Linked DNA regions of Arabidopsis thaliana. The protein of the gene in region 1 interacts with the protein of each later gene in a pairwise test. Each region holds a gene or a part of one and is shown on either strand. Other genes may lie near its edges.

The links.
Region 2: the proteins of TSB1 (region 1) and TRFL5 interact in a two-hybrid assay, tested with the Arabidopsis thaliana proteins (one large-scale study listed by BioGRID).

The regions. Positions count from the first base shown.
Region 1 is NC_003076.8:22,265,120-22,269,043, reverse strand, and holds the start of TSB1 (tryptophan synthase beta-subunit 1), read left to right. Parts: upstream 1-2,141; 5' UTR 2,142-2,305; coding exon 2,306-2,647; intron 2,648-2,897; coding exon 2,898-3,254; intron 3,255-3,337; coding exon 3,338-3,780; intron 3,781-3,872; coding exon 3,873-3,924. UniProt on the Arabidopsis thaliana protein: The beta subunit is responsible for the synthesis of L-tryptophan from indole and L-serine.
Region 2 is NC_003070.9:5,403,833-5,407,756, forward strand, and holds TRFL5 (TRF-like 5), read left to right. Parts: upstream 1-2,192; 5' UTR 2,193-2,305; coding exon 2,306-3,478; 3' UTR 3,479-3,654; downstream 3,655-3,924. Other genes in the region: AT1G15710 (prephenate dehydrogenase family protein), read left to right, coding at 673-1,749; AT1G15730 (Cobalamin biosynthesis CobW-like protein), read right to left, coding at 3,703-3,840.

The DNA.
Region 1 (3,924 bases):
TTCCCCCATACGATTATGCATGTAAAGCTCCATTGTTTCCAACATAGTCCCATCCGCATGTCCACTTCTGGACTGAATCAAAAACTTCAATACATTTAGCTCATTAAAGCGACCACTATAATTTCTTACCACCACCGTTTTAAGTGTCTTAGGAAGAGACTTATAGGTAAGGTTCTTTTGCCAACATGTTCGTGGACTGATGCCACAATATGACTTATAATATAAACGATGAGCCTTCACATTCTGGGATCCGTCTTATGGGATCTTCACATTCTGGGATAGCCTTCAAAAAGAAAAATACACATATTCCGCTCAAGATTAATGTCTAACGGTCTTAAATATACACCAAATTTAACGTAATCGATTGAAGGTATTAGATAAGGAAACTACATTAAACCATTCACTTTTAATCACTAGACTACTGAAAAGTTTCATACCTAGCTAGTACTATTTTCTTCAGTTCTCAAAGATATGTTAATAATGTAAAATGTATTGTAAATATGTTAAGACTTAAATATACCTGAAGGAGATAAGGGCAGGCACTTAAGGTCCTTGCCCCTCGAAAACTGTTAAGGAAGCCAGAAAGAACTGTTCCGTCTAATTTGGTTATTTGATTCGGTTCATCGTAATCGCCCTCTGCGCAGAAGTCCAAGTAGACTTGTTTTAGTTTCCTATTCATTCTCTTGACATGGAAGGAGAGAATTGAGCCTGATCGTACTTAAAGATCTCTACATTAGGCAGGTCAAAGGAACAAGGCTTTTTAGGGAAGAAGTCGCAGTTATCGAATACGAATTCTTTCATATCTCCTGCAAAGTTCTTGATATCAATACTCCAGCAGTAACTAAGACTTAGACTCTTGAGCGTAGGAGAGTTTGATAACAAAGACTCGGCCTCTGTGAGCTTGATCCAACCAATAGAGAGCTTTCTAGGCAATCCCGAGTTTTTGAACTTGGAGGGATCAAGCCCACACGCGTAAATCTTTAGTGATTCGAGATTTGTGTTTAAAATCCGAATTAAAACCTAATCAAATTAAAACTAAACCAAACCAAATACAATCCAAAATTAAACTAATTTTGGTTGAGTTTGGTTATAGTTTTACTAAATCCAAATTAACAGAACATAACCAAACCCGAAGATTTTTAGAGTCTTTAGAATTTTAAGGTGATTTTAGATAAAAGAGATTAAACACAAATCTCGAAAACTAAAGAAAGAGTTTTTGAAAATTTTTAAGTGTTTTCATGTAAAGTGGATTTCTCTGTGTTTTCTGCATTCTGCGGATTATAACTCCTATGTTTTTTTTCTCCGTCAATTATATGTGTTTATTTTCTCTATTTTCTTTTATTTTTATTTTTATTCTCTATATTAGGGTTTAGTTTATGAAAACTTTTTGTTATCTATATAGGCTTGGGGGATGTATTTAAATTAGAATTTAAAGTGATTTGAGTTCTTTGAGTTTTTAAATAATTTTAACGATTTTAAAAAAGTTCGTATGATTTTTGTAAAATCTATTAAAATCTCACCTTAAATCATGGGATTTGGATTTCTGTATTTTGAACTAAGAAAATCCTCTCAAATCCTCCAAAATCATTAAAATTCAAATCCACAAATTGTTCTGAATAACAGTGAATTTTAAGGTGGATTTTGAAATAATTAGTTCAATAACACTGAATTTCATGAGATTTTTTAAAATACATGTTTGAATAACATATGATTTATAAATTCTACACAAATCTTTTAAAATTCTAATTTCAATACATTGTTTTTGAAAGTGTTATTGACTCTTGCCAATATAGTATCCCAATTCCCAACTTGTGTTTCATTTTTTCATCTATCTAATAAACAATTAGATGAACACAAAAAAATATTGGTAGGTGATGGCTCAATTGGATATGTTTTTGAAAACCATGTGTTAAAAACTTAAAATACTATCCAACTTACCCCAGTCCTACCAACTTTTTTTTTCTTCTCTTGGTCTGCTTACATGTGTCTGCTTATATCTCCAAAAGGAAATAGATATATAAAAATTCAAATTTAAATATTTGCGATTTGTTAAATTTTAATCAATATTTAATTTTTGTTTTTTTTTGTTTTTTTTTATGAAGACAACAAATAACCAAATTTATCAAATCTGATCAAAGCAGATTTAGGATTTTACAAATATATTTTTTTAATATGAATTTTGTGGTCAGATTTTGACCAATTCTCTTTGAAAAAAAAAAAAATCTATCTATAAAAACATGTGTTACTTTGAAAGGATATTTCAAGGAGAAGAATATATTTGACTCAGAGAGAGATTCATTCAGTAATGGCAGCCTCAGGCACCTCTGCTACTTTCAGAGCCTCCGTTTCTTCAGCTCCTTCCTCTTCTTCCCAATTGACCCATTTGAAATCACCCTTCAAAGCTGTCAAATATACGCCTCTGCCATCGTCTCGCTCCAAGTCATCATCCTTCTCCGTCTCCTGCACCATCGCCAAGGACCCGCCTGTTCTCATGGCCGCCGGATCTGACCCGGCCCTGTGGCAACGACCCGATTCGTTCGGTCGGTTTGGGAAGTTTGGTGGGAAGTATGTACCTGAAACCCTTATGCACGCTCTATCTGAGCTTGAATCCGCTTTCTATGCTCTTGCCACCGACGATGATTTCCAGGTAGAGACCTTGTTCTTCGTGATTAGATAAAAATGAGACATTTTGCGTTGTGGGTCGTTGGAATTGTAGCGTTATCATTTGCGGGTTGTGATAAAGTTCGGATCTTGTTGATGGGATATGTTGATTCTAGGGCATTTGAATGAAATTGGTTCTGTTCATTTATGAAATGGTTAGAAATATGGTTTTGGTTCCTCTGGTTCAATGTCTCATTCATGTCCTTTGTGTATTTGTGTGAATGAATCTTTGTTAGAGAGAGTTGGCTGGAATCTTGAAGGACTATGTGGGTAGAGAAAGTCCTCTGTATTTTGCAGAGAGGCTTACGGAGCATTACAGGCGCGAGAATGGCGAAGGGCCTCTTATATACTTGAAGAGAGAAGACTTGAATCACACAGGAGCTCACAAGATTAACAACGCTGTGGCTCAGGCTCTTCTTGCTAAGCGGTTGGGGAAGAAGAGGATTATTGCTGAGACAGGAGCGGGTCAACATGGTGTGGCTACAGCTACTGTGTGTGCCCGTTTTGGTTTGGAGTGTATTATCTATATGGGTGCTCAAGATATGGAGAGACAAGCACTCAATGTGTTCAGAATGCGACTTCTTGGTGCCGAGGTGATGCTTAGGATTCATTTCCATCTCTTTTAAATGTGATAAACTTTGTTACTGAACCTTTTTTTGGGTGTCTGGTGCTATAGGTGAGAGGAGTCCACTCTGGAACAGCGACATTGAAGGATGCGACATCTGAAGCGATAAGAGATTGGGTGACAAATGTGGAGACTACCCATTACATATTGGGATCTGTGGCGGGTCCTCATCCTTACCCCATGATGGTCAGAGACTTTCACGCTGTGATTGGTAAAGAAACAAGGAAACAAGCGTTGGAGAAATGGGGCGGGAAGCCGGATGTCTTGGTGGCTTGTGTCGGTGGTGGTTCAAACGCTATGGGACTCTTCCATGAATTTGTGAATGACACAGAGGTCCGGATGATCGGTGTGGAAGCAGCGGGATTCGGATTGGACAGTGGCAAACACGCTGCTACATTGACAAAGGGAGATGTTGGTGTCCTCCATGGAGCTATGAGTTACTTGCTGCAAGATGATGATGGACAAATCATTGAACCACACTCCATCAGTGCAGGGTAAGTGAAATTCTCTATTCAGATCCGGTAACCATAATAAGTCTACTCAGTTAGCCACGGCTGCATGAACATGGTTTGATTTTCTCTTACAGATTGGACTACCCTGGAGTCGGACCCGAGCACAGTTTCTTTAAAGACATGGGA
Region 2 (3,924 bases), on another chromosome or scaffold:
TTCATCTTCTCGTGAAGAAATGAGCAAAGAAAGAGAACTTGAGGGGTTTTCTGTAATTATCATGTTTATTAGGGGTCAGTATATAAAAATTACTACAAAAGTCAAAATTAGAGTTTTTGTTTTTTTTTTTCTATGAGAAAAACGAGGGAAATATCAATAACCCTCCTAAATCCTAATAAAAATTACTACAAATAGCCAAATTAATAGAAAACCAAAAAACAACAACTATAGTCAGCATATGAAAATTACGAAATTTTCTTTTTAAAGATTCATATATAGGAAGAGATTGAACTTTAAAGTAACAAATCAAAATAAAATTATGGACAAATAAAAACTCTAGTCCTTCAGAAAAAGAAATATTGTAAATGCGGGTTACTAAATACAAATGAATACAAAACAGTACCTACAAATTTCCTTGGAACGACTTTTAATTTTGACCTCAATTTTTTATTTCCATTATGGTCCTTGTGTTGTTGTGTATTTAGCATTTTGTTTTTCTTGGGTCAATCAGCATCACCACGTTTAGGCCACGACATAAAATTGATCCGTTTATTTTTGAGGCTCGCTCGCATCTTCTTCCTCCTTTGGCGCAACCGCTTCTTCCTCTTCTATTCTCACAGATTTCTCTAAGCTCCCAACTTTGGAGCTAAAACTCAATCAACACTACTCACAATGCTACTCCATTTCTCTCCGGCGAAACCCCTCATTTCTCCACCCAATCTCCGCCGCAATTCACCCACATTCCTCATTTCCCCGCCGCGATCTCTTCGAATTCGAGCAATCGACGCCGCCCAAATCTTCGATTACGAAACCCAACTCAAATCCGAGTACCGCAAATCCTCTGCTCTCAAAATCGCCGTCTTGGGTTTCGGCAATTTCGGCCAATTCCTCTCCAAAACCCTAATTCGACACGGCCACGATCTAATCACTCACTCCCGCTCCGATTACTCCGACGCCGCAAACTCAATCGGAGCTCGTTTCTTCGATAACCCTCACGATCTCTGTGAACAACATCCCGACGTTGTCCTCCTCTGTACCTCAATCCTCTCCACAGAATCAGTCCTCAGATCATTCCCTTTCCAACGTCTCCGTCGTAGCACACTCTTCGTCGATGTTCTCTCCGTTAAGGAATTCCCAAAAGCCCTCTTCATTAAATACCTTCCTAAGGAGTTTGACATTCTCTGTACTCATCCAATGTTTGGACCTGAGAGTGGTAAGCATTCTTGGTCTGGCTTGCCCTTTGTCTACGATAAGGTGAGAATCGGAGACGCAGCTTCAAGACAAGAGAGGTGTGAGAAGTTTCTAAGAATTTTTGAGAATGAAGGTTGCAAGATGGTTGAAATGAGCTGTGAGAAGCATGATTATTACGCAGCTGGATCGCAATTCGTGACGCATACTATGGGAAGGGTTTTGGAGAAATATGGAGTTGAGTCTTCGCCGATTAACACCAAAGGTTATGAGACGTTGTTGGATTTGGTGGAGAACACATCGAGTGATAGCTTTGAGCTTTTCTACGGTTTGTTTATGTATAATCCGAATGCTCTTGAACAGTTGGAGAGATTGGATATGGCTTTTGAGTCTGTTAAGAAGGAGCTGTTTGGGAGATTACATCAGCAATACAGGAAGCAAATGTTTGGTGGGGAGGTTCAATCGCCCAAGAAAACTGAGCAGAAATTGCTCAATGATGGTGGTGTTGTTCCTATGAATGATATATCATCATCATCATCATCATCATCATCATCATCTTAAGATCACAAGTTTGATTGGATTATGCTAGATTCAAAAATAAAAAGTTGTGACTTTTTTGGAAAACGTCAAGAGTGGAAAATAAAAAAGGGATTTTGGTGTGTTCATATGTATGTTGGGGTCTCTTTTGGCTTGGTATCAATAAACTTGTCTTTTTTTCTCTAAATGTATCTGTGGAAATGCTTATCCCTCTGGTCGCCGGAAACAAATACGGACAAATTGTCTCCTTCTCCGGCCATATTTGTATTGGATCAACATTGTATTGCTCAAAAGTCATTACTGTTTTTCTCTGTCTCCAATGATCTCGGGTCACCCACCCGATTCGGATCAGGACAACATCGTTTCGTTATGGGCCGATTATATAATGGGCCGCTTGAATGTCTCGTCTTATTTAATTAAAAGAAAAAAACACATTTTAAATTTGAATGATTCACACGTGTGTTGTTGCCACCATAGTTGGTCGGAGCTTTTCCTCTTCCCAAAATTGTAACCCTAACCACGCACCGACGGCGAAAACTGATCGCGGGTTTTCGCATCTTTTACTTGCAAAGTCTTGGAAATGGAAGTGATGGACAAATGGGTAGCTGAATTTTTCCTCCGACGCCAACTAAATCCTAGGGTTTACGCTTTTCCACTGTTATCGGCTCTGAAACCAGTAGATTCCGACGACTGTGTAAAACTCAAGCTAACTGCTGTTTTGCGGGATATCTCCAATTCCATGATTCAAGGTACCGTAGACGAAGGAATGCTTGATCTCCTCGAAATTCTTGAGAAGCTTCTGTTACAGGAACATTCGGTTATCATGGGATCTCTCAAATCTGCGTATTGCTGGACTGCTGTGGAATGCACGCTTAGGTTTATGTGGCCAGTGAATGCTTCGGATGGCTTCTTCGGTGATGCCCTTGAGAGGATTTGGAGGAATCGGATTGGGACATTGAAGGAGAAAGAGAGCGACTTGGTGACTCGTGAGTTGTTGAAATGGGAGAGTGATCTAAACAAGGCGTTTGAGGAACCTGAGATTTACCAGAAGATTCGTGAGACTAACATCAGGTACAATGCCATCTCTCATCTTAATCAGCTTCTCAAAGAGCAGTGGGCACTACTTGGATGTTCTTCTCTTGAATCAGAAGCTCGAAAGAGGTTTCTTAAGCGTAAGGATTCACCATATGCTTCCCGGAGAGGAGGTAATAGAGAGAAAGCTAATGATGTTGAAGAAGTGGGTGGTGTGGAGAATCCTGATGGGGTTGGTAAGGTGAATGAACATGAACAGGAACACGAGCCAAGTCTTAATAAGGGGGAAATGTTGGTAGCTCGAGAGCTTAAGGATTTTTTGTTGGAGATTCAAAGACTCATCGACCCTATAACAAGGCAAGATCAAGAACCTAACAATGCAATGGAGCATTCAGTTGATGTCACTCCTCAGCCTGATGGGGCAAATAGGACTGATGCAGAAGATAGTGAGGGAACATCATCGTCTAGAAGAGTCAGGCCTCATCTACCAACCCCGGAACCTCTGAATGTATCACCGTTGAAGAAAGGAAGATTAGAAAGACCGCGTCCCAGAAGGCCAATGAAATTCTGGACTTCTGAAGAAGTGGCAGCTTTGAGGGAAGGAGTTAAAGAATATGGAAAATCATGGAAAGATATCAAGAATTCATACCCTGTTGTTTTCGCTGATAGGAGCGAGGTGGATTTGAAGGATAAGTGGAGGAATTTACTTGGTCGTCAGTAGTAGGAATCTTACCTTCTAACTTATGGGCATTTTGGTTTTGGGATCTTGTGTAGTTTTGCCGCTTGTGTTAGAAAGGGACTCACTTTTTGTACGGTGAAGGCTTTAATATGTTCTTGATTCAGGCTCTTGTAGTTAGTGTCAAGCTTTAGACGATATTTCTTGTTCAAAAATCTATTGACCAGTTGATTACAAAATGGAATGATTTTAAATATTTGGTCCTATAATCAAATCAAGCAAGCTCTGAAACCCATCTCTAACTCCTCCCGGTTCAAATTCTTGCCGATGAAAACAATCTTGTTGGTTCTTGTTTCATCTTTTCTCCATAACCGGTCAGGTGATCCTTCAAATATTTCATGAACTCCCTGTTCCAACCATTATAAACCACAAACGTCAGAGATAATTTACATCCCAAGGCTTCGATGCTTTAGAATTCATCCGAAATGATC